Arabidopsis thaliana: one gene and its partners. The protein of the gene in region 2 interacts with the protein of the main gene of each other region in a pairwise test. Each region holds a gene or a part of one and is shown on either strand. Other genes may lie near its edges.

What was found.
Region 1: the proteins of SEC10 (region 2) and SEC15B interact in a two-hybrid assay, tested with the Arabidopsis thaliana proteins (one study listed by BioGRID).
Region 3: the proteins of SEC10 (region 2) and EXO70E2 interact in a protein complementation assay, tested with the Arabidopsis thaliana proteins (one study listed by BioGRID).

Annotation. Positions count from the first base shown.
Region 1 is NC_003075.7:1,033,263-1,043,292, forward strand, and holds SEC15B (exocyst complex component sec15B), read left to right. Parts: upstream 1-4,851; 5' UTR 4,852-4,894; coding exon 4,895-5,878; intron 5,879-5,929; coding exon 5,930-7,309; 3' UTR 7,310-7,336; exon of another isoform or gene 7,337-7,512; intron 7,513-7,552; 3' UTR 7,553-7,802; downstream 7,803-10,030. Other genes in the region: ATPMEPCRB (Plant invertase/pectin methylesterase inhibitor superfamily), read left to right, coding at 1-243, 972-1,666; AT4G02340 (alpha/beta-Hydrolases superfamily protein), read left to right, coding at 2,460-2,924, 3,532-3,770, 3,871-4,141; AT4G02360 (transmembrane protein, putative (Protein of unknown function, DUF538)), read left to right, coding at 7,917-8,381; AT4G02370 (pectinesterase (Protein of unknown function, DUF538)), read left to right, coding at 9,196-9,699. UniProt on the Arabidopsis thaliana protein: Component of the exocyst complex involved in the docking of exocytic vesicles with fusion sites on the plasma membrane during regulated or polarized secretion. Involved in polarized cell growth and organ morphogenesis.
Region 2 is NC_003076.8:3,999,976-4,012,371, forward strand, and holds SEC10 (exocyst complex component sec10), read right to left. Parts: upstream 8,801-12,396; 5' UTR 8,720-8,800; intron 8,628-8,719; 5' UTR 8,471-8,627; coding exon 8,387-8,470; intron 8,309-8,386; coding exon 8,066-8,308; intron 7,976-8,065; coding exon 7,901-7,975; intron 7,786-7,900; coding exon 7,684-7,785; intron 7,613-7,683; coding exon 7,562-7,612; intron 7,480-7,561; coding exon 7,374-7,479; intron 7,183-7,373; coding exon 7,069-7,182; intron 6,970-7,068; coding exon 6,878-6,969; intron 6,668-6,877; coding exon 6,499-6,667; intron 6,417-6,498; coding exon 6,340-6,416; intron 6,256-6,339; coding exon 6,157-6,255; intron 6,070-6,156; coding exon 5,979-6,069; intron 5,897-5,978; coding exon 5,811-5,896; intron 5,720-5,810; coding exon 5,546-5,719; intron 5,351-5,545; coding exon 5,297-5,350; intron 5,229-5,296; coding exon 5,112-5,228; intron 5,027-5,111; coding exon 4,934-5,026; intron 4,788-4,933; coding exon 4,641-4,787; intron 4,519-4,640; and 13 more. Other genes in the region: AT5G12350 (Regulator of chromosome condensation (RCC1) family with FYVE zinc finger domain-containing protein), read left to right, coding at 40-362, 453-570; AT5G12360 (uncharacterized protein), read right to left, coding at 915-1,112, 1,298-1,344, 1,443-1,712, 2,204-2,273; ANNAT8 (annexin 8), read left to right, coding at 9,248-9,320, 9,422-9,567, 9,654-9,872, 9,953-10,165, 10,322-10,411, 10,503-10,712; FIS1B (Tetratricopeptide repeat (TPR)-like superfamily protein), read right to left, coding at 10,973-11,052, 11,137-11,200, 11,288-11,409, 11,533-11,662, 11,868-11,975. UniProt on the Arabidopsis thaliana protein: Component of the exocyst complex involved in the docking of exocytic vesicles with fusion sites on the plasma membrane during regulated or polarized secretion. Involved in polarized cell growth and organ morphogenesis.
Region 3 is NC_003076.8:24,550,133-24,560,265, reverse strand, and holds EXO70E2 (exocyst subunit exo70 family protein E2), read right to left. Parts: upstream 6,523-10,133; 5' UTR 5,655-6,522; coding exon 3,735-5,654; 3' UTR 3,223-3,734; downstream 1-3,222. Other genes in the region: ECT3 (evolutionarily conserved C-terminal region 3), read left to right, coding at 486-501, 830-903, 1,019-1,309, 1,408-1,968, 2,059-2,271, 2,359-2,505, 2,596-2,781; RPA70D (Replication factor-A protein 1-like protein), read left to right, coding at 7,625-7,752, 7,999-8,145, 8,251-8,478, 8,579-8,756, 8,842-9,112, 9,200-9,427, 9,511-9,589, 9,678-9,822 and 1 more. UniProt on the Arabidopsis thaliana protein: Influences the subcellular localization patterns of other exocyst complex proteins (e.g. SEC5A, SEC15A, SEC15B and EXO84B) leading to their recruitment to exocyst, well-defined large punctate structures throughout the cytosol.

The DNA of each region.
Region 1 (10,030 bases), on a different chromosome or scaffold from region 2:
ACCAAAACGGAACGGGGAATTTCACGACCATAACGGAAGCTGTTAATTCGGCGCCGAATAAAACTGACGGTACCGCCGGTTATTTCGTTATCTACGTGACGTCAGGTGTTTATGAGGAAAACGTAGTGATTGCCAAAAACAAAAGATATCTAATGATGATTGGTGACGGAATAAACCGTACGGTGGTTACCGGTAACCGGAATGTCGTCGACGGTTGGACCACTTTCAACTCCGCCACTTTTGGTACGTCTATAAGAGATAATTGCTCTATTTTTTTTTACCCATAAAAAAAATAATGCTATTTTTTGCACATGCACAACTTTGGTTTTTAACTATTTATTGAGCAATTTAAAATGATTGATTTTCTTAAAAAAAATTGTTTCTAAAATATTGTTTTTTAAAAATTTTCATACAATATTTATTGGTTAGTATTAATGAATTATAATTTTCAAAAAAATAGTTAATTATCATTGATTTAGAGTTATAAAAAACTGTAAAATATAAAATATAATATATTTATAATCAATATTTAATACGTTTTTTTAATACATGTGTTTTTTCTAAAAAAATAATCTTTAGAAAACAGATAGAATAGTATTTTTAAAATAATTCAAGAGTATAATTTGATATAGTTAGATAATAATAAACCTTTATTGAAATATGTTCTCCATAATAATAAAATATTAGTCAATCAATTCAAATAATCTAAGTAAAAAATAGTCACCGGCACTTTTGTTACGTTGCCGACGACACACATGGCTATGATGAGTTGATGAAATCTTAAAACTAACCACACAAATTATTCAGACTTTATAGACTTTTTTACGTGCGTAGTAGTTCGGATCATAATTGCACGTTTTTCACTATAGGACAAACTTTATATTACATGTAGTGAATAGATGACAAGACGCATTATTGAATTACTACTACCATTTTTCTTATAGAAATATTGTGACTTTATTTTTTCTCAGCTGTTACATCGCCGAACTTCGTTGCCGTGAACATGACTTTCCGAAATACCGCTGGACCAGAGAAGCACCAGGCCGTAGCTATGAGGAGCAGTGCAGATCTTTCAATCTTCTATAGTTGCAGTTTCGAAGCTTATCAAGACACTTTATACACACATTCACTAAGACAGTTCTATAGAGAATGTGACATTTATGGAACAGTCGATTTCATATTCGGCAATGCAGCTGTTGTGTTCCAAGACTGTAATCTCTATCCAAGACAACCGATGCAGAACCAGTTCAACGCTATTACAGCTCAAGGTCGTACTGATCCGAATCAAAACACGGGAATTTCGATTCACAATTGTACGATTAAACCGGCAGATGATTTGGTTTCGAGTAACTATACGGTTAAAACGTATTTGGGACGACCATGGAAGGAGTATTCACGTACGGTTTTTATGCAATCGTACATAGACGAGGTTGTTGAACCGGTTGGTTGGAGAGAATGGAACGGAGATTTCGCATTGAGTACGTTGTACTATGCTGAGTATAACAATACCGGTTCCGGTTCAAGTACTACAGATCGAGTGGTTTGGCCCGGTTATCATGTGATTAATTCTACGGATGCGAATAATTTCACAGTCGAGAATTTCTTGTTAGGAGATGGTTGGATGGTTCAGAGTGGTGTACCTTATATTAGTGGTTTACTTTCGTAATTTCTTGTATCTGATTATTTGTTTTAGCTATTATTATGGGTAAATTTTGGTCTTAATTTTGGTCCATTGTTGTAATTTGGAACATTCTTTAATAAAATAAAGATCTAATAAATTTTATTTACACTAATTAATATTTATGGTCATTATTTTATAGAGAAATTCTTACAAATAGCACTAAAACAACTTTATGACAATAATAGCACACAATCCATAAACTTCCAAAAATAACACTATTTGACTTACTATAAAGTTTTTGTTCTAAAGTATTACTAATTTATTTTTTCAATAATACCACAATTTTTATATAAAATCTATTCAACCAAAATAAATTTGAAATAAATTTAAAATATAAAATTTGGATATTCTATTTCTAATTTAGGGTATATATTTCAACCATTTAAAAGAAATTTTGATTCATTTGAATATTAGTTTATGGTATTATATTTGGTTTCTAATTTTCAATTTAGGGTATATATTTTTACTATTTTTCTAAAAAATTGACTCAATTTAATATTAAATTAGTGTTTGCTCTTAATTTTATTTTCTATTTTATATTTTCATTAAATTTAATTAAAGTTTATAGTGTTAGTTTGTGAAATTTTAAAAATATTGTGTTGATTTTGGAAGAAAACCTTTTTGGTGCTATATTTGTCAATAGCTCTATTTTATATTAGTCATAAAAAATAAAATAAAAATATCTCAAATATTTTGACTCCAAAAATATTAAATTAATGACATTTCTTTGTTCATTCACACCTGAGAGTAAAGAAGTGAGAAGGAGAAGAAAGAAGCAATGGAGAAGATAGAGCACACGACGATATCTACCAATGGTATTAACATGCATGTGGCTTCGATTGGTTCAGGTCCAGTGATCCTATTCGTCCATGGCTTTCCCGATCTCTGGTACTCATGGCGTCACCAGCTTGTCTCTTTCGCTGCCTTAGGTTACCGCGCAATCGCTCCAGATCTTCGAGGATACGGCGATTCCGATGCGCCGCCGTCTCGTGAATCTTACACCATCCTTCATATCGTCGGAGACCTCGTCGGATTACTGGATTCGCTCGGTGTTGATCGGGTTTTCCTCGTCGGTCACGATTGGGGAGCAATTGTTGCGTGGTGGCTTTGTATGATCAGGCCTGATCGAGTCAACGCGTTGGTCAACACTAGCGTTGTGTTTAATCCGAGGAATCCTTCTGTGAAACCTGTTGATGCGTTTAGGGCTTTGTTCGGCGATGATTACTACATTTGCAGGTTTCAGGTAATACTTTAAACTCATGAACACTTAATTGAAATGAAAATTAGGGTTTGGTGAAGTTCTCAGTGGTTGAAATCAAAGACATACTTAGGGTTTATTGATGATTACTGTTCATGATTTGATCACGTTAATGATAGATTGGTTGATTATGAACAAGAGTTGTGGCAAATTGCTTTATAGCCAATGCTTCTTTGGTGTTTAGTTATGAGATCAAGTTATTGAACCGATTTGAGATAGATGTATATTTAGGCGATTGCTTTTTGCCATGCCTTGATACTGCTTCAAGAAAGTTGAGCTTTTTATGTGTAAATGTATACACAATGAGAAATTTCTTAGCCACTATTAGTTTCTGTTTGTGTCTATAGAAACAGAGACCAGCCACCTACCTATACATAGCTGAACTTAGCTCAGGCTCTGACTCTGATAATGCAAGTTGCTATTGATGATTAGAAAAAGGCAATTAGTGCTTACTTTAATATAGTGCAGTCAAAGTCAAAGTCATTTACTTTATTTGAGTTACTTGCTTTAAGTAAATGTAGTTGGATCAGTCTTGTGGTCTTCAATTGCTTAAGTTGGTCCTACTAAAGATTTTGAGTTTCTTTTTTCTCAGGAGCCTGGAGAGATCGAAGAGGACTTTGCTCAAGTTGATACAAAAAAGTTAATAACCAGATTTTTCACTTCGCGTAACCCACGTCCACCTTGCATTCCAAAGTCAGTTGGTTTCAGAGGTTTACCTGATCCACCTTCTTTGCCCGCTTGGCTCACCGAACAAGATGTCAGGTTCTACGGAGACAAGTTTAGCCAAAAAGGCTTCACCGGTGGGCTAAACTACTATCGCGCCCTGAACCTGTAAGTCTTATGAATTCTAGCCACCTATTCTACATCATACAATCATCTTTTCATGGTTAATCTTGGACTTGAATCAATCTGGTCTTATCCTAACCTGCAGAAGCTGGGAACTAACAGCTCCATGGACCGGTCTACAAATCAAAGTCCCTGTGAAATTCATAGTGGGTGATCTAGACATAACATACAATATCCCCGGAACAAAGGAATACATACATGAAGGTGGTTTGAAGAAGCACGTACCTTTTCTACAAGAAGTGGTGGTAATGGAAGGTGTAGGTCACTTCCTCCATCAAGAGAAGCCTGACGAGGTCACTGACCATATCTATGGCTTCTTCAAGAAATTCAGAACCCGCGAAACCGCATCCTTGTAGTAGTTCTCCGTCTGCACAATGTCAAATTCAAGGTTGATTAAGCTTGATCAGGGTTACTTACTGTCTTAGAGCCCTACTATGTAATGTTTTCAAGGATGCTATCTGTGTATTGTGCTTGTTTAATAATTTAGCAAAATATAATAATAGAACAAATAATTTCTCAAATGTTGGCCATCTCCAGTTCAATATATCCTTAAACTTTTCTTATGTCCAAATTAATTTTCAAAATGTTGAATTCCTATGGTTTCTAGAAAACTTCAATTAAGCATAGATGATTTTTTTTAGGTGAAATTAATATCAAAAAACTGAAATATATGTACAATTTTATCAAAAATTATAAATCTACTAAGGACATTTATACCTACCAACTGAATAAATTCAATAAAATATATAATACCAATGTTTTTTTTTTGTCAACAGAATTGGTGTATTAATTTTTTGGCAGTGGATATTTTCAACAAAATCTAAAGCGCGTTCGACCACGCGCCTGTGACGCGTAAAACTCAGTTTGACAAATATTCACAATTAATTGAAGACGCCAGTCAGAAGAAAAAACCACTACGCAGCTTGAAAAGACAAACACACCCTCGTCTTCTTCCGTCGCACCGCTTCTACAGCAATGTCATTTTAGTCAAACCCCAAAATTCGAGCTCCCTTTGAAGAAAAAACCACCAAATCAGTTTCGTTGTCCCAAATCCAAAATTCCTCCTTCTTCTTCGCTGTAACGCTTTATACCTAATCGGAGATAAAACAATGCAATCGTCGAAAGGACGGCGGAAAGTTGGCTCCACAACCGCCGGAGCCGGTATAGATTCGGCGGAGAAGCTCGACGAGCTCTTGATATCGTCTGCCATTTGTAACGGTGAAGATTTAGGACCATTTGTTCGGAAAACTTTCGGTACAGGGAAACCAGAGACTCTTCTTCACCATCTCAAGTTTTTCGCACGATCTAAGGAATCAGAGATCGAAGAGGTATGTAAAGCTCACTATCAAGACTTTATCCACGCCGTAGACGATCTTAAATCGCTTCTCTCAGATGTTGAATCGCTTAAATCTGCGCTTTCCGATTCAAACTCTAAACTCCAATCTGTTGCGGCGCCGCTTCTTTCGTCTCTCGATTCGCTTGTTGAGGCTCAGACTGTGTCTAAGAACGTCGATCTGGCGATTGGAGCGGTGACTCATTGTGTTCGTGTTATGGAACTTGTCTCTCGAGCTAATCAGCATCTTCAGAGCGGTAATTTCTACATGGCGTTGAAATGTGTGGACTCGATTGAGAGTGATTTCATGGAGAAAACTCCTTCGTCAACGCTGAAACGGATGCTTGAGAATAGGATTCCGGCGATTCGATCTTATGTGGAGAGGAAAGTGAATAAGGAGTTTGGAGATTGGTTGGTTGAGATCCGTGTGGTGAGTCGGAATTTAGGTCAGTTGGCTATTGGTGAAGCTTCCGCGGCTCGTCAGCGAGAGGAGGAGCTCAGGATCAAGCAGAGACAAGCGGAGGAGCAGAGTAGACTTAGTCTACGCGATTGCGTTTATGCGCTAAACGAAGAAGAGGATGATGAATTTGGTTCTGGCCATGAAGGCAGCGATGGTGGTAGTTCCGGAGGTGGATTGCTAGGTTTTGATTTGACACCACTTTATAGAGCTTATCACATTCATCAGACACTATCTCTTGGGGATACTTTTAAGCAGTACTATTATAACAATAGGGATCTTCAGCTTACCTCTGACTTCCAGGTATCTACTATGACTCCGTTTCTCGAGTCACATCAGACGTTTTTCGCACAGATTGCTGGGTTTTTCATAGTAGAGGATAGAGTTTTAAGGACTGGAGGAGGGTTGATTTCGAAGCTGGAAGTGGAGACTTTGTGGGATACTGCTGTTACTAAGATGTGTGCTGTGTTGGAGGATCAGTTCTCTAGAATGCAGACGGCTAATCATCTCTTACTGATTAAGGATTATGTGAGCTTGTTGGGGGTGAGTCTACGCAGGTATGGCTATGCTGTTGATTCCCTTCTCGAAGTATTAAGCAAGCACAGGGACAAGTATCATGAGTTGTTACTATCTGATTGCCGTAAACAGATCACAGAAGCTTTATCAGCAGATAAGTTTGAGCAGATGTTGATGAAGAAAGAATATGAGTATTCCATGAATGTGCTCTCTTTCCAGTTACAAACATCAGAAATAGTACCGGCATTCCCTTTCATTGCTCCATTTTCGACCACCGTCCCAGATTGTTGCCGGATTGTGAGGTCTTTTATCGAGGATTCGGTTAGTTTCATGTCTCACGGAGGTCAGCTTGATTTCTATGATGTAGTGAAGAAGTATCTGGATAGGCTTCTAGGCGAGGTTCTCGATGAGGCTCTGTTGAAGCTGATTAGCACGTCGGTTCATGGAGTTTCTCAGGCAATGCAAGTTGCAGCAAACATGGCCGTATTTGAACGAGCTTGCGATTTCTTCTTCCGTCACGCTGCACATCTTTCAGGAGTTCCTTTGAGAATGGCGGAGAGAGGTAGGAGGCATTTCCCATTGACGAAATCTCAAAACACTGCAGAAGATACACTCTCAGGAATGCTTAAGAAGAAGATAGATGGTTTCATGACATTACTCGAGAATGTCAATTGGACAAGCGACGATATACCACAAGGTGGGAATGAGTACATGAACGAAGTGTTGATCTACTTGGAAACTTTGGTTTCCACCGCACAACAGATCTTACCCGCTAAAGTCTTGAAAAGGGTTTTGCGTGATGTCCTTGCTCACATTTCTGAGAAAATCGTTGGAACGTTATGCGGGGATCTAGTAAAAAGATTGAGCATGGCTGCAATCAAAGGACTTGATGTGGATATTCAGTTGTTGGACTCGTTTACAGAGAACCTAACTCCATTGCTCACGGATAAAGAAGCAAGAGAGATGAAAAAAGCGTTTGTCGAGATAAGACAGATGATCAATTTACTTCTGAGTAGTCATCCTGAGAATTTTGTAAACCCGGTGATCAGAGAAAGAAGCTACAATGCTTTGGATTACCGGAAAGTAGCCACGGTTTCAGAGAAATTCAGAGATCCATCAGATAGTATTTTCGGGACTTTTGGAACAAGAGGGTCGAGGCAAAACCCGAAGAACAAATCTTTAGATGCGTTGATAAAGAGATTGAAAGATGTGAGCTGATGATGGATCCCAGCACAAACCCAAAACGTAAGTACGATCCCGTCCTTTGTGTTAATTATATGATTGCTTTGTATTTCATTGTTGATGATTCGTTGGTCTCTCAAAAAGAAAGGCAAAAAAAAAAACACTAAAACTGATTTCACCCCAATATTGTTTTTTTTTTTTTTTCTTCTTCCATTAATAGCATTTTCGTTAATGAGTTCAATAGTTTGATTTTGAATTGCAAAGTTCATGTCACTGCAGCCTTTCACTATGCCGTAGCTTTTTACCGCATTAAGTCATCAATCGGATCCTTAGTACGGTTTTAGTTACGATCATGAAATAGTAAAATCAGTCCAGTGGAATGCAAACTTGGCTGAGTTTCTTTATTTCAATCAAGGTTGGTTTGGTTACCACGTGATCGTCGTTTTTCCCTATTAACACGTGTGCTCTCTCTGTCAATCAAATCGTCACCGTACATCTAATTTGCATGGTCTCTTCATCAGACAGTCCAGAACACACAAACACCTAACAACTGTTTTCGTCTTCTGTACTTAATGAGACACTTCAAAGCTTATGCTAAATTAGACACGAATCATAAGAGCAAAACTTAAAGAAGTAAAGAACCATGTCGCTAGACGCGAATACTTGTTCTATCGTCTTCTTTCTATTCTTCACTGTCTCTTTCGCCGTCTCCGGCCAAAAGCCAACCGCTTACGACGCCGTCAAACTCTATAACTTACCACCAGGAATCCTCCCAAAAGGAGTGGTTGACTATGAGCTTAACCCAAAAACAGGCAACTTCAAAGTCTACTTCAATGACACGTGTGAATTCACCATCCAATCCTACCAGCTCAAGTACAAATCAACTATCTCCGGCGTTATATCACCCGGTCATGTCAAGAATCTGAAAGGAGTTAGTGTTAAGGTTCTTTTCTTCTGGGTTAATATTGCTGAAGTGTCTCTTGACGGCGCCGATCTCGACTTCTCCGTCGGAATCGCGTCGGCGAGTTTTCCGGCTGCTAATTTTGAAGAGAGTCCTCAGTGTGGTTGTGGGTTTGATTGTAATAATGGGCTTTTATTTTCTTCTTGAATCTGTTGGGCCTTGTGTTGTACTGAATAAAAAATGCCCTTCTCTTATGATTGGCTTATGAGTATTGATTAGTTAATTAATAAATTGATTAATGTATGTGTATGATTAGTTCCTACCGAAAAAGCCCTTCTCTTTCATGTCAATTTGAGCTTTCCGAGACCGAGACTATTTAACCATTTTTGACTTTCTATTTAACATTAGAATTTTTTTGAAGTTTTTACACCAAAATAAATAAATTTAAGCGACCATAAAAACAAGAAAACTGGTCAAGTTAATTTATCTTCTTTTTTCATGGAGCAAAAGATTAATGTTTATACAATTTTTTATAAAAATAAGAGTTCGAATGGTGACTGTATTTTGCCGTGTAGGAAGAGAAGTACTGTACAGTTCAAATAATAACGAAAATATATATATATATATATATATAAAGATTTTAATACTGTTACAATACTGTTGCGGTGCAATTTTGAGTATGGTCTATATCATTATTCATAGTCTAAATTATATACAATTTTTTTTTGTCTTTTTGTTAACAAATGTCTTGATAAAATTTAATTCATGATTATCTAAGAGAACTTTTCCCAAAAATTTGTCTTATCACTACAACCTGACTGCCTGTAGAAACTAACCACGTGTCCAGTTGTCTACCTAAAACGGCGTAGTTTATATCTAACAAAAGATATTTTCAACGACCACCATTATTACAAAAAGTCTACGACGGCAAAACGAAAATCCACAGGCGGAGAAATCAAAAAACCAAAAATCCAATCTTTGGATTCTTACTTCTACGATTTGTGTGTTTCCTCAAACCCAAATGTCTCGTCTCCCGATTTTAATCGCTTCGTGTCTCTTCCTCTCTTCACTCACCGCCGCCGTCGTCACCGCCGCCGAATCCGATACTCCGACGGCTTATTCACTCCTCCAAAGCTACAACTTCCCCGTCGGAATCCTTCCAAAAGGAGTCGTAGCTTATGATTTAGACACAACAACAGGCAAATTCCATGCGTATTTCAACGATTCATGTAGCTTCAATCTTGTTGGTTCTTACCAATTGAATTACAAATCAACAATCAGTGGTTACATCTCCGAGAACAAGCTCAAGAAATTGACTGGTGTTAAAGTCAAAGTTTTGTTCTTGTGGCTTAACATCGTCGAGGTTATTAGAAACGGTGACGAGATGGAGTTTTCCGTTGGGATCACATCGGCGAATTTCGCGATCCAAGAGTTTTTGGAATCGCCTCAGTGTGGTTGTGGCTTTGAGTGCAAGGATTCGAAATTGGACATGATTGAGAGAATCCCTTTTCTTTCTTCGTCTTGAAATTGAAAAAGGTACAATCTTTTTTTGTAATTTGTCCCCAAAAAATCTTACCTTTCGAAAAGATCGCATCTTTTATGTATTGTCCAATAATATGAGCGTAGTGTCTGGAATTTGTAATTGTTTACTTTAGTTCTATTTATTGGATTCAAGTTCTGTAATGGTGAAAAGAAAAGATACTGAAGGGAGATGTGAACATTGTGAAGTGAACATTTGTAATCTTAGATTGAATGTTTTCATTTTTGTTCATAAGGTCCTTTACTCCTTATTTGTATTGATTTGGTTTGGATGTGCTGGGAATTAGGATGGAGCTGCAGTTAGTAGGTTAGAAGCC
Region 2 (12,396 bases):
TTCTTATACTGATTTTAACACATCAACATAACTATGCAGTTAAAAGACATGGCCGAAAGATTACCCGTTGGATCAGCTCGGACTGTGAAGTCTCCTCCTTCTCTTAACTCATTTGGTTCCAGCCCTGGTCGCATTGACCCTTTTAATATCTTAAACCAAGCAAATAGCCAAGAATCCGAGCCAAATGGCATCACGACCCCAATGTTTTCTAATGGGACCATGACACCTGCATTTGGGAATGGTGAAGCAACGAATGAAGCACGGAACGAGAAGGAATGGGTTGAACAAGATGAACCTGGTGTCTATATCACTCTTACAGCCTTAGCCGGAGGTGCTAGAGATCTCAAACGCGTCCGTTTCAGGTATAATAGTTTCTTATCTACCTAAAAAGAAACAATCAGTTTTTTTATGTCTGAAGATTGGACTGTAATTACTGTTTTGTTTTCTGACAGCCGAAAAAGGTTTAGTGAGATACAAGCAGAACAGTGGTGGGCAGATAACAGAGGAAGAGTCTATGAACAATACAATGTTCGCATGGTTGACAAAGCCAGTGAGGACTTGCCTCGCTGAAACTCTTTAACACCAACCAGTTGTCTATTTTTTTCCTATGCCCGATTCAGGTGAGTGCAGAATCTCGGGATATAACAACAGATATATATAGAGAGAAATTAGATGTTTTTAAGTGCTTTCATTGTAGTTTGGGATTTGTGTGGTGTTGTTTGTGATAAAGTTGTAAATTCTTTGTGGTTAAATCATTCTGTAAATCCTATAAAACATACAGTGTTTTTACCCCCTAGAAACAATGCTGAGTAATTGGATTTCGAGCAGATTTGTAGATACATCATCACATTAGAAACTAAGAAGTTACTGATATTGTTCCAACAAAAAAAAAACAACTAAAGTAAAACTGGACCTCAAGTGGTGTCTTCATCCTCCTTGAGCTTGAATTCTACAGTTTCAAAATGCCATGGCAAAGGCGATGAAGGTAACGAAGAATGGTGATGGCTTAGTGAGTCTGGTGGTGAGCGCCATTGAGTTGAGCATTCCAGCAGATCGGAAAACTCCTCCATTGGTATCTCTTTGAGTTCATCCCAGCTGTTCTCAGCATCAATCTTAGGCACAAAAACAAGTGAAAGAGTCATGAAAGTTGCTCAAAACCGGAGCTACAATACGATGCTATGTGTTTGTCTCCTCTAAACTCTTATGGCATTAACCAACGATCTTAGAAGAACGATTCTCTTATAACTCAACATAATCAAGATAGAGAAAGACAAGGTAAGGTAAAAGCTAATCTTACCTCTTGAATATTATTGTATTGAGGAACCCCTTCTTTGATGTTTGTCTCTGAAAAGCAGAACAAAAATTAGGCTTCAGAGAATTAAGCCAAGCAAAGGAAACATAAGATAGAGAAAAAGGGTTCTTTCTTCATAAGTCATTATTACCATGTCCATGCAGGATGATGTGTTCAGAGAAGTAGCTATCCCACTGGTCTTGTTGTTGTTCTTCAATGCATTTGCTGTGATCATGCAAGAAACCTTCCTTTGCTATGTCAAAATCCACTCCCTCAACATCCTTCCTCGTCGTGGATGAAGCTTGAGGTTGCAACTTTGACTTGTTTGTAATGTCATGGAGAGCCTTGCGGCTTCCGAAACCCGCCCCATTTTTCTTTGGAGCTGCGAGTGAACTCTTACCTTTTCCAGCAGCAACCGCCTCTACAATGTCAAAAAAAAAAAAAAAAAAGACTTTAGAAACATAATAAGTTGCCAGGAGCTCTACCTCTAGAATTACAGAAATTCTATAAATAAAAACATGTTCCATGGTGAACATACATTCTCATGCTTACACTGATGAATAAAAACATATACAAGATGGACACAAAACAAAACTTAGTTCAAATTTGATCCTAAGCATAATATTGGACATGATTATAAATACAGACCCTGAAGCAAATTCATGAATGTATCTCTAAGCAATAATAAGAAGCTCTTAATTCAAGAAACCAAGACCTCTCATATGAATCCAAGAGAAAAAAAGACAGAAATATTCGCAACTTGGTAGGTCCTTCATGTTTCATTTCTCGTATAGTCTCCAAAGATTTTCCAACCATAGGACAAACGAGTCATCACAAAAAAAAACGATTTCTTTGTCCAATAAGATAAAAGGGAGCAAAAAACCCAGAGATTGCAGTGTAGGTAAAAATTACTTTTTCCAAGGGCCGCCAATGCATTCTCGTCCTGAAAAATCATCTGCCCGCGAAGAATTGTGTTGGCCATGCTCACTACATTCAACCAATTTTGGGGGTAAATTTTACATGAACAAGCAGCGAATGAGTGGGAAATGAAGCAATCTCGATATCAACAAAATCAAACCCAATCACTAAAGATTAGACTCACAAGATGCCGATGAGCGGATAGAGAAACTCCAAATCAACAGCTAAACAATTTCCCCACCAACCAAAATCCCCAAAAGAGTTGGCAGAAATTAAGAAGAAGAGAGTGATGATAGAGAAACAGCAAGGACTCTGCTCTAAACGGAAGACGAAGAGAACGAATCTGCTGCGATTTAGGGTATGCAGAATTTCAAACGAACAGAGAGAGAGAGAGCGGTCCGTTTATTTGTAACATTTTCAAATTCTTTACTCCCTTTTTTTTTTTGCAGCATCGTGATCAACGAGGCGCAAGGATGTTTTAATGGCTAATGGCTTTGCATAACTTTTACAGTGTTAATTTAAGTTAGTTACTTCTTTTATTTTCTCCTATTTTGCATCTTTCCAATTTTTATGCAGAAAGTAAAACATCTGTCTTGAGACTCATAACGACATCTCAAATATTTTAATTTTTTGGACCAAAACGATATCTCAAATATATTGGTCACTGTCTCAAGCGAAAAAGAAAACACAAATTAAGACCCATAACGATTCAGAATGAAGAGAGGAGGCAAGATTTCATGGTATATACATAAAATAATATATATCTGGTGGTGGCACTGACTGACTGGTTCAAGTGTGTTCTTTAAACATTGAGAGATCAGCTCAAGCTTGGCCACAAGGAGCTGAGTTTTGTTGCCAGCTTCGCACTCTTATAGTCCTCCCTCAGTTGAATAAACCTGCACATTATTCTCAACTCTTTATTTCATCATTTTTATTCTTTCTATTTTATCCTTTATAATCTCTTTCTATTCTTACCTTTGTGCGTCTTTGCGAATGCTTGGACTTCCCTCGAACAATGTTGGCAGACTATCTGGAGCAACTATGAAAACATTCGCTATTCTGCACTCACAAAAAGTGATTACAATAAATAATAATAAGAAGAAGAAGAATTAAAGTGACAAGAGAGTCTCAAGATTGTTATTTACATTCCCAGAAGCTCAAATTTCTCATCCACAGATGGAGCACCGAAGCTTTTAACAAATCCTACATACTCGTTTAAGTCACGCTTCAGCCGCAGTCCTCCACTGTCAACCCAAGTGTTAGTAATCATAAAAACAGAACCAAGGTTTATTCACTCAGACCTAATTTTGCAATGGATCTTTTATTTAATGTGGTCAAGACTTTGATTTGATCCGACAAAACATTTATACCAAGAGGTGCGAATCAAACATTGCATTCATGTCAGATCAGAGTGAAAACTCAGAGATAGCAAATTTGGAATGGTTATCTATGTTTGATTTATTAGGGCCCTGAATCTCATTTTCGGTTATTCTGCAGATGCGATTTTAGTAAGGAAAAGAGAAAACATACAAAGAGCTGAAATCATACCTGGGATTGAAAGTGAACTTCTGCCAGTGTGTTAGTAGCAGTTTTTCTAACCTATTTCCCTGAAAATGATAAAGAAAACTTAATTCAAATCCTCATCCTTCTCTATATGATGCATAAATTATAAATTATTTTTTTTAACTATTTATTTTGAAGTCACCACAGTAGTGGAAAACAAGATTGAGTTGCTTTTTAATTGGATCATTCATTTGTTAAAGACTGCCATTTCATAGGCAAAAAGATGGCAGTATATGGAAAAGTCGAAGTTATCACACAGGAACTTAAGCTTAGAATGTTTCTTTTTCTTCTCTAATCCGTCGTTGGACAAAGCAATAAAAAGCAAAGGCCAGGGCGAATAAATACTTCGAACAGATCAAATAGTAACCAAAAGGCTTAACGAAATCTGTGGTGAGAAAGAAATCATACCAGTTCAGTCAGGAAGGCTTGCTTATTAAGACCTTCCAAGGCAGTGAAAGCAGACTCAAGTACCCGGGAAAGATAAGCCACGACCCTAAACAAGAGAAAAAATCAGATAAAAGAATAGCACAGTGTTGAGACGTGATCAATAGATATTTTGTAAAATGGTTCAGAAATCTACTAAGTATAACTACAGATAAGCACTTCTGGCTTATCAAACTAAAAAAAAAAAAAGGTGAAGCCTTTAACCTTATGCAGGCATTTGTTGGACGGTGGTCAGAAGCAATTCCATCATCAGTTGATCTATAATCAGTAGACTTCTGCTCAGATGAAAGTAGCCTATCAACCTGAAAAAGACCATATTAGAGTCCTTAAAATGAGGGGAAAGAAAATATTAAGCATGACTCCTAAACCTGTTCAGGGTTGAACCTCATGGCTCTGTTTGTAATGTACACAAAAAAGAACTAACCTCAGCCATCACAGTTTCAATGCACTGCTGAAGTCCTTTATAAGCAGCTGCCTCTGCTTTGGACAGAGCAGTTGACATTTCTTCACATGAAGCAGCATGTGCACCATCCACTGGTAGGAGAAGCCGAGATATAGAATTTGCAAAATACTGGAAAAGAAAATTAGATGATTATAGAATTTTCATTGTAGAAGATTGGGTCAAACTATTTGAATACTTTAATAGTTGAGTAGGAGAAGCCTTCTCAGATGAAATAATTGAAACGAACTGATAACCATAAAAGTAATCCAACATGCCTGCTGAACTATAGCAACACTGCTACCGCAACGTTGCACAGCAACCATGAAGGATTTAAAGCTACTTTCACCAGCAGCAGCAGCAGCTTCTGCCTGAGAAACAATCAAAGAAACTATAATTAACTCCACATAACAATAGCATTTCAAATAGTGAGAAATAGAAAAGAGAAGGAATTACAGCAGAAGCAGCTGCAGCAGCTACTCTTCTGCCCAAAACAAATCTCTCCCTCAATGCTGCAGCTTCAGACAGGCTATCCCTTGCCCGTTCAAGTCCCTCAGTTATGTATACGCTCACCTGCAAGAACTCATCATTGCATCAGCTCTATTAATATGAATGACTCTAGAATCTCATGAACAGCATACCTGGTCTAGCAGGCAAGTAAATATAGCTTTAACATTGGCTGCAAGTGTGGCTGGCTGCACAAAAAAATAATTATAAATATCAGATATGCAATCCCAGATATTAAAGTTTACTTACTGTTAGATAATTCAGCCAAAATCAATATTTTAGATTATTTCTTTGTCAATATCCTATTCCGACATCTTTTCTCAAAATTCACAGCAACTAACTTATTTTGGAAAAGTTTCTCATAAATTGCTAAGTTCAGTAACCTGAGATGAAAACAATGTGCATCTGGTTATTGCTTCTTCATTCCATCGAACAAAATCTGTGACAACGGTGACTGATATCTGCTGCAGAGATGATGATATTGAAGCACCCTTAGAGCGTCCTATTGTCCCAGATGACTCTGAGACTTGCTGACTCTCAGCACGCAATTCTTCCATCTGTAGAGAAAACCTCAAATCTAAGCACTTCACATTAATGAACAACATAACAACTAATTTCAATCAGAAAATTGAAATAACCATATCAAACCTTTGCTTGATATAGTTGTTTTAAGGAGGCCCGCTCATGCTCAGGGTATTCATCCTTGTGCGAGGAAAACAAGGACTCTGTCAAATCTGCACAGTCAAAATATAGAGTTGTCAGCACCAACGAAAGTTTGCATGACAAAACAAAACTTCTATCATTAAAAAAAACGACCTTCAACATCCAGGTCACCACATCCAACAGCTCGGAGGTCTTTAGCAAGTTCTTGTGTTCTCTCATATGCAACTGCTAACATTCTAAGGTACTAAAGACAAAAATTAAGAGTTAACTTTCTTATACCAATCCTACTACGAAGATAGCAAAAGAAAGAGATAAAGAGGTATCTACACACTAGTAACAGTCCGCCTTCTTGCACAGGTGGTGGACTCATAAGAGAGGGCTTCGCCAAAATTTTGTCTAGAATACCTGTGACACGCTGCTCCAGAACTCTCTGCGTAAAATACACGAAGAGTTGGTATAGCTTATCCATATGCCGGGTTAACACTACAGTGTCCAAATTATCGGTGCCAGTTACCTGAACTAAGATCGCCATAACTTCATTTGGAGTCGGGAAAACAGCTGTAATGGTCGCTGCTTCTTTGCGTACGGTGTCTACACATAAGAAGTAACAAAATATATGAATCAGCATAGAAGCATGTTTCAAGTATTGCATCCAGATCAATGACCTTCAAACCTGTAATTTCCTTGAATAAAGCAGAAAGTCCACGGGCAACATTGCTAGGACTAGGCTGAGAACCATGGTCACCAAGAACCAACCTAATGTCTGAATTCATGACTTCCACATCAATAAACATTGGACGTGTAGCCACATAATGTTGCATAGCACTTGTACCCCTGTTAAACTGAAAATCAAGAAGAAAAAATACTAAGTATCAAGAACCATATGTACAAGAGGAGAACTAGACATCCATTCCTTCTGTGACAGCTTTATGTAGAATTAACCAGGATGTAATCACTCGATACGTAAGGAAGGCCTTCGCTCGGATCTTAGATAAAAGAACAGGTTTTCCTACTGAATTGTAAAGGGGCATGCTGCAGAATAAAGCATTCACCTGTGACAAAATCTTAGCGCATTCTGACATGGTTGATAAATCTCTCCGCTGTGATGCAGCATCAAAACGAGATAAAAGCCTGTTCTCCAATTCTACAGCATCATACTCAAATGTCACAAAGAAAAAGTTGAACATACAATAATCCTCTTCAGTAAATATACAGAAAACACAGTATAAACGAATTAGTTTACCATTACAGTAATCCTGAAGATTAGCAACTGCAACTTCCAGTCCTCGGCCAGGGGTAGCATTTCCTGCAGCTGCACTCGCACCTTGCCTTCCAATGTCTTCCTCAGCAAAGGATCCTGATATCGACAAGGAGAGCATGGAAATCAATTGCAGCCTAATTTAACTGTAAATTTTCATTGTTTCTTTTTGGTTTTAGTAAAGTTTCGTTGTTGGAGAGTTAAATTCTTAGTTGTTAACAAATGATAGATAAAAAGTTGTTCTAACACTCCAGACAAATTTCAAGTAACATAAAGCTATCACATCATACGTAATTTCTGAGCGATAGAAGCAGCCTCAGCTACGCGGCTATCATCAGAAAACAAAGCGGAAAGCTCCATAAGATCCCCTGGGCTGCCGTTGAACTCCATTAGGTACTGCATTTGTTGAACAAGGATTACTTTAAGCATTCATCTAACTAAATATGTGACCAACCTTGCAACATAGATGCACACTTACCTTTATAAGATCTATCGTCTGGCTAGCAGTTTCCCGCTGAGCATCTGCACTCTGACAAAGGAAGCATGGGTTAATATTGGATAGACCACCAGATAGTTGGTTATAAGCAAGGTAAATTTTACCTGCAAATGATCTCCTATTTTTGCAGCGGTCTGTCCAACACTTGAAATACGACCGTCCAACCTTGCAAAGCTCTCAAACAGACCGTCCACACCCTTCTCTATCTAGAAAGAGAATTCAATTACCATTTGAAGAAATGATCGGGGTGTCAGTTATTCATCAGGTAGTGATCCATGTACCCAAGGAATTTAATCAAACTAATAGTATTAGTCTGCCAACCTCAGTCAGTGTCTTCCGGTGTTTAGAATCTTGGGTTGAAACTTCCTTCTTTAGTGTATTGAGCCTTCCATCAACCTTCCAAAATAATTAACAAAAACCTCAGATATCGGAACGATGAAAAGATAAAACAAGGGCTAGTCATCGATGTAGACGCAAGACACTCACCTGCTTCCGAAGATCAACTAACTCCTTGCAAGCATCTTTGAACAGAGACAAAAGACCATCTACTTCAGGAAAAAAAGGAGCAGAGGACAAAGGAGCAGACTGTCCACGTAAATGCCCATTTGTCAAACCATCAACTCCAGCAATGTTGCCATGGCCATCCCCAGAATCTGCTTCTTCGTCTAGGAAAGACGGCAAGAGGTCGTTTACCAGGTTCCCAAATAATGCATCAAATGAAAAATCACCCTGTCAGTGACAAAAAAAAAAAAATCAATATCCCTTATGATTCAAAAGTGAAAAAACATAAGCAACTGAAAACCTCACCTTAAAGTCTTCAATGTCAAGAATCAGAGGAACAGAGTTAACAGAGGATGATCTGGGTCCTCTTGCTCTGATTCCTTCTGTCATCTGATAAAATGGAAAATTCAAAGAATTGAAGAATCAAGTCTGACAGATCATATATGAAACATTCAATAAATAGCAGAAAGAGATGCGTATGATTCTGGATTCTTCAATGATACTACACTAGCGTAAATCTTCTAAGTTAAGTCATCACCGGTAATCGCTGTTTACTCCGCCGAATGCAACAAAATTTAGAACCTATAGATGACCAATCGCGCACACGGGAAAGGAAAAATGTAATATGGAGCAACTTACCGGCGATGAACGGAGAGATCTAGCCGGAGGAATCCGGTAACTGCAGGGAGAAAAAGACGGAGAAAAGAGAGACGGTCTTCAATGGCGGACTTTTCACAACTATGAGCTCCCTCCTGATGAGCTGTTAATTTTATTTTATACGAGTTTTTTTTTCCTAAACCGGCCGGTTAACGAATTTGATCAACTGTTAATTTGTTAATTTTTTTCTAAGGCAAAAATATTTGTGTTCGTGTTTACAGTTAGCTTTTGTGTTATGGGATGCAATAATATTCCTTATGAAAACTTAATTCCTGAAAAAATAACGGCAAAGTCATATACATAAAGGGGTGGCGTTAACAGAGAGAGTTTCAGATTAACATAGAGCAAAAACAATCAATGAGCCGTTTGAAACATTTTCTGGTCTCTTCAAAGCATTGTAACATCATTACCAACTCTTATAAATTAAGAGTGCTCAAAGCAATGGAAGCAATATCCAACAAGTGATTAATCTGAGTCAAAGATATCTTACGCAGAAACAGAAAAAACAAAATGGCCACCATTGTTTCTCCTCCACATTTCTCCCCTGTCGAAGACGCTGAAAACATCAAGGCGGCTTGTCAAGGTTCTACTTTTCTTTGGATTAGTGTTTCAAAACTTATGTGGTTCATCAAGTTTCTTGCTATCTCCTTTACTCCTCTTCTTTATTTCTATTTGGCGTTTTAGGATGGGGAACCAATGAAAATGCCATCATCTCGATCTTAGGACACCGGAATTTGTTCCAGAGGAAGCTCATAAGACAAGCTTACCAGGAGATTTACCATGAGGATCTCATTCACCAGCTCAAATCTGAGCTCTCTGGCAATTTTGAGGTTTAGATTTTATATATCTCCTCCATGTGCTCTACTCTACTCTATTTCAATAATCCACAAAAGATAAATATATTTGTTACCTGCAGAGAGCTATTTGCTTGTGGGTCTTGGATCCTCCAGAGAGAGATGCTCTCTTGGCTAACTTGGCTCTTCAAAAGCCTATTCCTGACTACAAGGTTCTTGTCGAAATTGCCTGCATGAGATCCCCTGAAGATATGTTAGCTGCTAGACGTGCTTACCGTTGCCTCTACAAGCATTCTCTTGAGGAAGACTTGGCCTCCCGTACTATTGGCGACATCAGGAGAGTAAGTAATTTTAAATTTCCAGATAGTTTCTTCTAGTTTTGACTGATCTTCAACGCTTGGGCGTTTCTTGATATATACAGCTCTTGGTTGCAATGGTGTCTGCTTATAAATATGATGGAGAAGAAATTGATGAGATGCTGGCGCAATCAGAGGCTGCGATTCTTCATGATGAAATCCTTGGTAAGGCTGTTGATCACGAAGAAACGATCAGGGTGTTAAGTACAAGGAGCAGCATGCAGCTTAGCGCAATCTTCAACCGCTACAAGGATATATATGGCACATCGATCACTAAGGTATACAAACAAAAAAATGAACATCAAGTTATGTTATAACTGATCTGTGACAAAGCAATCAATTGGAAATTTCTAGACAACAATACAGCAGTCATACCAGTTTTTCTTCATGACAATGTTCTTTTTGCTGTCCTTAATGAAACATTTGATGACCAGGATCTCCTCAATCACCCTACAAATGAGTACCTGAGTGCACTACGTGCAGCCATCAGGTGCATCAAAAACCCTACCCGGTATTATGCAAAGGTAGGATGCAACAATATTGTTTAGATGTGTTCTCTAAATTATCCCAATAAAACTAACTGGTATTCATATGGTTAATCCCTAATGCACGTAGGTTTTGCGCAATTCAATCAACACGGTGGGGACTGATGAAGATGCTCTGAACCGTGTGATTGTCACACGAGCAGAAAAGGACCTGACGAATATAACTGGGCTGTACTTTAAGAGGAACAATGTGAGTCTCGATCAAGCTATAGCAAAAGAGACATCAGGGGACTACAAGGCCTTTCTTCTAGCTTTGCTAGGACATGGAAAACAACTTTAGAGTTCATCCTCAACTTAACACCTTAAAACAGTTGCATCTCTTCTAATTTTCTAGTATGGAATAAAACTATATTTAACGCTGAAGTAATAATAAAGTTTTCTGTTTGATGCTTCCTCAATCAGTTCTGTTGTTTAGCTTTTCATAGTAAAACAGGAATTACATAATTTTCCTTAATAAAGACATTCTTTGAAGGACACAAAGAAACTAAACAGACTCACTGAAAATAAGGGAAACATGTACATGTATGGGTTCTTTCCTCCTTAGCTGCGTAATATGGCTGCAGCAATACCAGCAACAACCCCTACAGCAGTAACAGCAATTCCAACGCCAATCACACCATCTGATTTCAAAAATCAAAAGAGAGTTAAGAAAAAGCAGCTGAAGATTCTAATGGACGATGTGTGGACAGTTGACACAATAGTACCTTTCACAATACGGTCCTCTATAGCCTTTTTGAGTGCCTGAGCCTGTCCGGACTCCGGTTCAACCTAAAACCACAGAAAGAAAAAGAAGGCATTGTAGAATACATCAACAATAAGATATTCAGGAGTTATCCATGGAACAGATGATCAAACCTCCAAACACCGTTCTATACAATCCCGGCTTCTTGAAAAGTCACCGCTTCGATAGTAACCAAGAGCAAGGAGATATAGCTTCTCCCTAAGTTTCATTGCACTTGTATCATTAACCACCAAAGCTGCGAAAACAAAGCAAAACACTTTGCTAAGATCAAACCAGTCATATGGATCAAAGCATCCACCTTTTGGAAGAACAATAGGCAGCTGAAGATTCCATAGAAAGTGTGAACATAAGCTATTACCTTCAAGCATTGCAATCCCACGCTGAATATCCGAAGGCATCTTTGAATGAACAAGAGCCCATGAAAGACGCATAATGCATTCCTTCTTACGTCCTTCGTCTTGAGCCTCTGCAAGTTCTTTCTCACATCCCTGAGAACGATGTCAATTCCTTACAAAATTATGTATGCATGCCAAAATTCAGGCCAAACACAAAAAAATTCTTTACAAGGACAAGCAACGCAAGAGAATCCAAAATCCGATGAAGGAGATATTAAAACAATTGGAAATTTGTGATTCGAGGTTCCTGTGCGTGTCAAGTTGAGGAACATAAAAGGTGGTGAATCATAAAACTTACGGAGATGATGTCGGAATCGCACAAGGGAAACTCATCGGCGGAAGCAGAAGCAGCGCCGGAGAAGAAGTCTGAGACGGAATCGAAAACCTTCCCTATCGCCGCGTCCATTTTTCCTGTCGCAGCTTCAAGATATTTCAGAGTATTCTTCTCGTTGGCTTTGACGATGATCCTCCCCTTGTGCTCAGCTATTTTTCTTTGACGAAGACCAGTCCAGAAATTTGACGGCAATAAAATTTTTGCGTAAATTTAGAGATTTTTTAAATTAATTTAGAATTTTAGGTGGATATTGTTATTAATTTATTATCATATTAATGTTTTCTTTATAAAGATAATATTGGTTTAACAAAAAAAAAAAAAAAATTGACAGAGTGAATTGCAAAACAAACATTTGATAAAATAATTAACAAACTAACACTATAATTTTAAAAATGTAGTAACTAACTATAAAGGGTAATTATTGACCAAATTGGTTTTGGTGGAGGTGATAGTGACTGGACGCGGTGGTGGCCGGAGGTGGTGGTGGTCAGAG
Region 3 (10,133 bases), about 21 Mb from region 2:
TTTGGTTTTTAAACGAAAATAAAAAGGAAGAATTCGAAGATTAACTTAACTTAGAAAGATATTTCGAAATTAAACTTTTTTCTTAGAAGTTTGGTAAAACTACGTATAATTTTTGTAATTGAATCCTATACATTAAACTTCTAGTTTGAATATTGTTGCAATAAAATTATAATATAGAAGTATTAAAAGATAAAAGGAAAACAAAAAAAAAAGTTAACCCTTAACAAAACTTTATTCTCTTTTGTAACTGGGCCTTATTCTCTTTTGTTATTTCAGCCCATTTGATTTGCTGAAAATGCAACCCGAATCACATTATTTTGACCCGAAAGTGAATGGGTTAAACCCGAAACATGAAATACTCAAAAAGTTGTTGCTTTTAGGGTTTTGTGGTCTCCGCTAGTCAGGCGTTTACTCTCTCTCTCTCTCACATTTTCTCATTCTCTCCTACAACAAGTTTCCGCCGCTAAGCCACTCACTACGCAGCCATGGCAAATCCTGACCGTATCCTTCATTATCTGTGTCTATTTGTATTTGCTTTATGAGTTTTTGTCAAAGCTTTCTTCTAAGAAGATTCTTTTTGTTCAGAGGGTTTTAAATATAAGCTGATTTCTTCATTCTAGCTGGATCTGTTGTTAGTTCTTTTGACACTCTTGTTTTTCTACGATGGATTTAGATCTTCTTCTTTGTTTTTATTTTTTTGTAAATCGTTCATAAATTCTTAACTTTTAGGGTTTATGAAGAATTATCGTGGTTCTTCCTTGTTGATCTGATGTTTTGACTCGTGAAAAAATCATAAATTTTGTTATTCCTTCATTGTTTTTTTCTATAGATGTTTCAGATGTGCTACATAATTTGTCGATTGATCCAACAACCAAGGCTTTAGCTCCTGATTCTGAAACAAAGGTATTTTTCTGTGGTTTAGTGTTCACCTTTTGTTTAGTGATTCAGAAAACATGCCTTTTGGTTTCAATAAGAGTAATTTTCAGAGTGAACTTATAAAGGCTAGTGTCCATTTTAGTTGCAGGGGGCTTATGGCGGAAACGGTAATGACTTCTTGCTCAATGATGAGTTAGTGGAGGCTACCAAAATTGGTAAACCTAGTCTTTTGTCTAAAGATGGAGGTGTGACCAAAGACAAGGGATCCAACCTTAAGAAACTCGGGTACCAAAGTGCAGCTTATAACGCAAAGGGTTCATATGGGAAGGGTGCCTATGCTTATGGGTACTATCCCCCAGCATATCAGTACCCAAGACATGGTTACACTGGGAGCTATGCTTCAGGGAAAACCAATCTTCAGTATCAGTACCTGGTATGTTCTTATTTCATTCATTGAGCTGTAGTTATAATCACTTGGTATGTAATCTTGACTTGTTTATTCGTTTAATTTATTATCATCTTATTTTGCAGACTCAGCAGGGAAGATCAGCTGGTAATGGTCAATCTTATGGAGGATACATGGACAACATTTACTCCAATTATGGGATGTGTGGACCTTACACGAATGGCTATGGGTATGGCTCTTACGGTTATGACTCATGGAAATACATGCCCAATTGGTATGCGGTTAACAATACCTACAAGCCAAGAAACGGGTATCATGGATATGGCAAAGAAAACATTGAGGGGTTAAATGAGATGAATAGAGGTCCACGAGCTAAGGGTTTCAACAGCCAAGATGGTTCCAAGGTGATGGCTGTGTCTTTGAAGGAGCAGAGAGTGACTGAGACTGAGAAACTCAGTGAAGATGTGTCTCTTTTAGATCCCAAGGACTACAATAAGATAGATTTCCCTGAGACCTACACAGAAGCAAAGTTTTATGTAATCAAATCGTACAGTGAAGATGATATTCATAAAAGTATCAAATACAGTGTTTGGTCCAGCACTCCTAATGGTAACAAGAAGCTGGATGCCTCATATAACGAGGCAAAACAGAAGTCAGATGGCTGTCCCGTGTTTCTACTTTTCTCTGTGAGTGAATAATTTTTTTTGAATATGTTATCAACCTCTGCTGTGTATTTCAGTTTTAGTTGTAGAGTTCTTATGTTTTCATTGATGCAGGTAAACACTAGTGGACAATTTGTTGGTTTAGCCGAGATGGTAGGCCCTGTTGATTTCAATAAGACTGTTGAATACTGGCAACAGGACAAATGGATTGGTTGCTTCCCTGTTAAGTGGCATTTCGTTAAAGATATCCCTAATAGCTCCTTGAGGCATATAACTCTGGAGAACAATGAGAACAAGCCGGTTACTAATAGCAGAGACACACAGGAAGTATGTCCGCTCACTGTGTTATTTATCATCTTTTGTATTCTAATAATTGAGCTGTCATTTATTTTCTTACCATTTTTTTGTCTGCAGGTAAAGCTCGAGCAAGGCATTAAAGTCATCAAGATTTTCAAGGACCACGCAAGCAAGACATGCATCCTCGATGATTTTGAGTTCTATGAGAATCGTCAAAAGATTATCCAAGAAAGGAAAAGCAAACACCTGCAGATCAAAAAACAGGCAACAATCCTCTCTGAAACCAACAATTCATTGATATATATAATTATATAACAGGAATATCTTACAAATTTTGGTATTGTTTCCAAGCAGACATTGGTGGCCAATGCAGACAAAGGTGTAATGTCAAAAATTAATCTTGTGAAACCTCAAGAGTCTACTACAGCCTCAGAAGATGCAGCAGCACTAGGAGTTGCGGCTGAAGTGACTAAAGAATCGAAAGTGGTGAAAGAGACCGAGTTACCTGTGGAGAAAAATGCTGTTGCTACTGCCTGCTGAACCAACCTTTGGTTTTAAGTGGGAACTGGGTGGGCTGTTTTAGGCTATTTAGAGCGTTTCTCTAGTTTTGTTTCCATTCCTGAATTTGCAGACTTTTTTTTTTTTTTTTTTGGAACCGAGTTGAGAGGGTAGTGGCTTAGTAGATGAAGTTTTGGCATGAGCATTCATCATCTTGCAGTTATTCTCTATCCCTTTAGTAATGGTCCAACATATGAGGATATGGGTAAAAGATTGGTATTGAATCAGCTTATTCAGTTTTATATAACTTTTCAGGCAAGACAAGTAAGAGAAACATTTGGCATCTGCTTCATACTCGAATGCAGGAATCAAACGGTCCAAAAAAAGTTCCTTCTCATATTTTGACAGAAGATTGTAGGTTTTTGGACATAAGGGTACTATAGTTTAGACAATTTTCCGAAGATGAGAATAGATGGAGAATAGCAAGGCTACCATCAAATCTTCTAAGCATAATTCTCTAGTTATCTTCTTGACTGGGGAGAGACGTCATTACTGACATTCATAATCAGCCCAGTCTTCTTTCCACTGCTAGCTCACTTCCTTCACTTGTTCCATCAACAACACTTTGCTGTTGCATATGCCAAAATCCAGCAGAGAATACAGAGGTGAGTAGTAGTAAGAAGTCACCAAAGATATCTCCTAGTCAAATAGCCCAAGTCCATACCTCAGTTAAATCAGATGAGTCCATAGAGTTAACCAAAAAACCATCGTCATTATAAATGTTAAATCCGACTTAAACATTGAATTTGTATTAAGCATGTCAAAGATGACATAGTGACAAGATAGCCAATTACTATTACATCCCCACAATGGAGTATAAAAATTCTACAACTTTATTTGCATGTAAGCAATCACAAAACATTGCATAAGTGAGTAAATAACAAAAGATCAAAAGAACAAAGATGGAGTCCATTAGGCTCAAGTCATCATCATCATCATCTCTTACGAGAGCTGCGCAGTGATCTTGGAGATGGCAAACATTCAAAGAGATCAAGGAGCATATTCTCAATGTCTTCACAAGTGTATCGGATGTGTTTTTCGCCTATGCGAACTGCATTTCTTCCAAGAAATCCTCTGTAAGACTGAACAACCTTGACAGAGGTCGAGATGTGAAGATCATCGCGGAGCTCTGAATCAGGGACTGACCAACGGGTTTGGTTCTTGTAAACATCATCAAATGCAAGGCTGAAAAGTCTGCATCTTTCTCTCAGGGTTCTTACAGAGTCGTTGTTGTCTCTGAGCAAAGCGAGTATGGAGCTCCATGTGGATCTCTCGTAGTTAGTGACATTGCATTGGTAGCTTGCAATGTGCTTCCTGATCCATTCGTCTCCAAACAAGCGTCTCAGCTCTGATCCCTTTACCTTCTGGACCATGTAACGGAAGTTGTTCATCAGGAAAATGGATTTCAGTGCTTCGTCTGCGTACAGCTGAGCTTTTCGCTCAAGGCTGGATTCTAGAGTTGTGACGATTGACCTGAGGTGTCTAGCCATTGGAGAGAATGTCGAAGGGAGGACATCTTCTCCTGTTTTCTCGGGGATGGAGTCGTCAACGTGTATGTTCTGAAGCAGTGAGTTTAGTGAGTCGGTATACTCCGGGAGAAGCTTCAAGTAGTTCATTACATACCTGGTCAGGTGATGAATCCCGCCTCCATGAAAGGGGCGTGTGGATTCATCTGAGGCTATTGCGTCTTTGAACTTTAAGAAGGTTGTGGTTGTATGATCAGCTAGTTTTTTTGACAGGTTGTGAAATGCAATTCTTAAAGACGAGCCTGTTTCATCGGGGAAGAGGTTATCGACATCCACGAGAATCTCTGCTGAAACCTCATACATACTAAGGAAGCGCTCAAGCATTTCTGGCTTGCAAGATCTCAGCACCACAGCTTCTCCAAAGTTGAGGAGTGATAGAATTGCATCTTTTGAGATTTCAATGAAGCAAGCTGTAGAAATTGACTCAAAGTCTCCCAAAATCTGATCACATAGCTGTTTTTCACTGGCGAGATAGACCTGAGTAATGATCTTAACAACCTTTGTCCATTTTCTCATTGCACCATTCAAATCCTCCCAGTCCATTCTGAGAACATCAACGCAGCTGAATCTTTCCATTTCGAGAGTAACCATATACTCCTCCAGAGCTTCTCTTTGAACGCCGATGAAAGCTTCACAGAATGGTTGATCATACTCGCAAGCAAACATGGCGTTTGCAATAGCTTTGATGTGAGGAAGTACGATGGGATCAACCAAATCAGAATTATAAAAGTCCGATATCTGTTCATCATCTTCATGTGAAGAAGCTTCGACAATAACTTCATCATCTAGGGAGACAAAGGACTCGTCGTACACAATATCTTTTCTACGGGAACTAACAGCCAAGTAATCAGGCTGTACATGCCGTTTGTGCTGATGCAGAACATCACAGAGCTCTTTCTCAAGCCTCAACATCGCGATGTCAAGAGCAACCGTAGCTTGGTTGTAAACATCTTTCTCCATCTGGTTAGTTTTCATGGGCAAAGCTTTGAAACCCACAAGAACTGTTTGAACGTCATACAGGGCTTGAAAGAACTGATCAGCTTCAGACAGACCAGCTTCAAACATCGTCGACTGGTTTGTCTCCCAACTGCGGATTCTCTTCACAGCTTCTTTGAATCTCTTCTTGATCTCAGAGAATCCTGCATCTTCAACTTTGGTATCAGCAATCCCAAATGTTGACAAATGCATCTCTAGGTCACTTAGGAGCTTTCTCAAATTGGCATCCAGGTTGTTATCAGATGCCCTCAGTGCCTTAACAACATGGTGACATGCCTCAAAGACATGATTGTTCATTCCGGAAACAGGAACCTTGGAATCAAACTCTGCCATAACCAAAACCAAAGACTAGAGCCTAAACTCAACTTAAATTTGACTAGACAACTAAATACACACGGCAGAAGAGAGAAAAGTCTAAAGTGTTTCCAGGTGAAAGCACAAATGTAAACGAAGGGATGTTATATAAAGTGATTACTAGGTAAGCTTAACTCCAAGAACTATACTTTGAAAAAATCTCAAGTCATCTCGGAATGAAGTAAACAGAGAGGAAGAGAAATCCCCACATGAACATAGTAAAAACCATTACTACTTAAGCTTAATCCAGTTGACATACTTATGGTAAAAAATCAGTGAAGCATTCTTCAAATCTAACATTTTTCCTCATACTATAAGCTCCCACACAACACCCCAAACTATAAGCTCCCACTTATGGTACCATACTATAAGCTCCCACACAACACCCCAAAGAAAAAGTCAAGTCAACGGCTTTCCCAAAAAAACTTCTTGTTTCTGTAAAAAAGGAGAAATTTTGATGTTTATTAGAAAGTGATATGTTATTTGATTTCACAGAAACATTTTATCATACACTCGGTGATCGAACAGAGTAAACGTACCGTGAAACGGGAAGAAGAAGAAGAAAAAAAAAAAAACCAGGAAAGAAGAGATTATGATTTTGATAACTGTGTGATCAAAGTCTCAAAGAACAGATTTTTAGAAGCAAGAGCAAGAGAGTTTCAGCGAGATTATTGGGGAAGAAGAAGGGAAAGAAGAAAAGTTGTGGTGCACGTAAACTGTATTTATAAAAACAAAGTTGAAAAATGGAATTAGTATTCCAACGAAGGCGATCCCGTAATTTCGTAGATTACGAAAGGTTTAGAAAATGATAAATTTTTGGGCCGCCCCGAATCTAATTGAGATTGATTCGTCCATTGACTTCCCCATATGGCGGGACGAAAACCATGGGGATGGTAAGTCTAATTAACTTAAATTTGGGGGTCAAAATGTAATTAATAAACTTCGAAATGAATTTAATTTGTTTCAATTACTTTTACGAATTTGAACATTTTATGTTCTATCTCTTGTCTTGATTTTTGATAATGTTGTCGTCAGAGATAATCGAATTTCATTAAACACATTTTATGGTGGATTTTTTTAGAGCTATTGGATACAATAGGGATAAAAGTATTATGTTTTTGGAAAATAAGGGGTACAATAATAAATTAGTGTAATAAACGTTGATGTTGATTAGTCAATACTTGAAGTTTGACTGGCTCGCAATGTATTGATCTGAACCGTCCGATTATATTTGTACGGCTCACACTAGTAGTTGACAGCTCATATCAAGTAAGGACCTCAGCAAGTTTTTTTTTCCCAAGTCAAGAAGTATAAATTTTCTCTTTATATAAATTAAAATTTTAAATGTTTGCCTCACGCAATGCGTAGAATTATTTTTTTCAATTGTCAAAAACATTCAGAGAAAAAAAAAAGTCAAAAACATTAAAGATTGTTGATATTGTTTAATCTGGAATTGGTGTTTGATTTTGATCCTGGGGATTTTGTATTTAATCTTTTTCTGAAATAATAATATCGTATGTGTTCTTTAAGAAACAAAAAAATTGTATTTGTTGGAAATAAATTTTAGATATTTATGAATCATAACGTGTGATACGGTGGATTCAAGACCCACACATAAAAACAAAACCATAAACTATGGGCCTGAAGTGAAAGGCTTTTGTAACACAGTTTCTTTCGCATACAAAGTCCATTATCAAACAAAACAAAATGCGCCAAAAAAATGGAAAGATACTGAAAAGAAGCGGTAAGAGTTTTTTGCCAAAAAAATAGAAATTGAAATCGGCGGGGGAACAATTAATCGAATTTAATAGCTCCCGCTTAAAGCTCTCTCCTTTACAAAAACCCTCGTACCTCTCTCTCATTCTTCTCACTATCTCACGGCTTTTAGTTTTCACCATTCTGATTAAAGAGAAACCAAACGTTTCATTTTTCAATATCTAGAGAGAAAGATGCAGACTTCGGTGACCCCAGATGCCATCTCCACCGTTTTGTCAAACCCATCCTTTGATTCGTCTTCCGATCGATCTGAGATCGTTGTTCAAGTTGTGGATCTTAAACCTATCGGCAATCGCTATACGTAAGTTTCCTTGGCTTTTCATGATCTGGGTTTTACTTGATTTCTTAAATCTCGCTTGTTCCAGCTTTAGGTCAGTGTTATATTCTCTCAATCACAATTGTATAGCTAGATTATGATATGCAACGACTTTGATGACTCTATGATAGAAGAGATCTGGGTTTGTTGATAATAGTTTGTATATTGCCTAGTTTTGGGTTTTAGTTACCGATTTTGTTCTGATGGATCTGTTTTGATTTTGGTTGACAGATTTAGTGCAAATGACGGAAAGACGAAAGTCAAAGCAATGTTTACTGCTTCACTCACACCTGAAATCATTTCTGGGAAGATCCAGAACTTGGGTCTAATTCGTCTCATTGATTTCACTGTTAACGACATTTCAAGCAAATCTACAAAGTAAGACTTCTCTTTTGCTTCTTCTTTACATGGATAATCACTCTGGTTCGATTCTTGAAATCAACAGTTACTAACATGTGTGTTTCTCTATTGTCTCTGTGTCAGATATTTCCTTGTGACTAAATGTGAGGCTGTTGGTTCTGTGCTTGATTCTGAGATTAACTTGGACAGTAAGAGCGGAGAGGAGGAGGCTCGTGAGCCCAAGAAGCAGAAACTAGAGCATTCTCCTGTCAGTCCTCTGAATGATGTTGTTTCTACTGGTATCACATTGAAACCGAAGCAGGAATTTGTAGCCAAATCAGCTTCTCAGATAATGAGTGAACAAAGGGGAAAGTAAGCAAATTATCTTTTTTGATCTTCAATGTTTCATTACTGTCTCTGTCAAATGGTTATTTTATTAGTGTTTTGCTTAAATTCGTTTGGATTTTGACAGTGCTGCACCAGCTGCAAGAATGGCCATGACTAGAAGGGTTCATCCACTTGTGTCATTAAATCCATATCAAGGAAACTGGACCATCAAAGTCCGAGTTACAAACAAGGGAGTGATGAGAAATTACAAAAACGCTAGGGGTGAAGGATGTGTCTTCAATGTTGAACTAACAGATGAAGAAGTAAGAAAGCTCCTTACTATCTCTCAAACTTGGTATAGACAACCTTTATGCGGTTTCTCATTTTGTTTATTTGGCTGTTATCCAGGGAACACAAATTCAAGCAACGATGTTTAATGATGCTGCAAGGAAGTTTTTTGACAGATTCCAGTTGGGAAAGGTTTATTATATATCAAGGGGGTCACTAAAACTCGCTAACAAGCAGTTCAAAACAGTTCAGAATGATTATGAGATGACACTGAATGAAAATTCAGAGGTTGAGGAAGCTAGTAGCGAAGAAATGTTCATCCCTGAGACAAAATTCAACTTCGTACCCATTGAAGAGTTGGGTCTGTATGTTAATCAGAAGGAACTTATTGGTAAGAGCCTTATTGTCATTGAACATTCTTTTTCCAGGTAAATTATACATTGGTTGTGATAATAACTTAATTGTTATGCTATTTCAGATCTTATTGGAGTTGTTCAAAGTGTATCTCCTACCATGAGTATTAGAAGGAGAACTGACAATGAGATGATTCCTAAGAGGGATATAACTTTGGCTGATGAGTCAAGGAAAACTGTTGTGGTGTCCCTGTGGAATGATCTTGCAACTGGCATAGGTCAGGAGCTACTAGACATGGCTGATCAGTCACCTGTGATTGCAATCAAGTCTCTCAAAGTTGGAGATTTTCAAGGTATGATGTATTTGGTATTATTGAACAGTATGGATAAATCACACTTGTTTGAACCTTTTGCTCATAGAATCCAATCTCTCCAGGTGTTTCGTTGTCTACCATCAGCAGAAGCAATGTGGTTATTAACCCGGAATCACCAGAAGCTAAAAAGTTGAAATCTTGGTATGCCTTTTGGATTGAGCCAGCTGATAAAATAAAATGATGAAACTTGTCTCTGTTATTCAATTACCATTCTCTTTGACATTGGCAGGTTTGATTCTGAAGGCAAGGAAATATCCATGTCTTCTATTGGCTCAGGGATGAGCCCTTCTGCCAAAAATGGATCTCGGTCTTTGTATACTGACCGAGTGCTTCTCTCTCACATCACAAGCAATCCATCTTTATTCGAAGAAAAGGTACTAAACACTGAAATTCAAATCCTGAACCAAAAGTGCTTAATTATAGAGTTATGAACTTATTATGAACTTGGATTTTCTGGATCAGCCTGTATTTTTCAGCACTAGGGCTTACATAAGCTTCATCAAACCAGACCAAACAATGTGGTACCAAGCTTGTAAGACTTGTAACAAGAAAGTGACAGAAGCACTTGACTCTGGTTACTGGTGTGAAGGATGCCAGAGAAAGTATGAAGAATGCAGCTTAAGGTAAGAGAGATACTCTTTTGATTCATAATCAAACTTGGTTATAATCTTTACTTCCTTTCTCC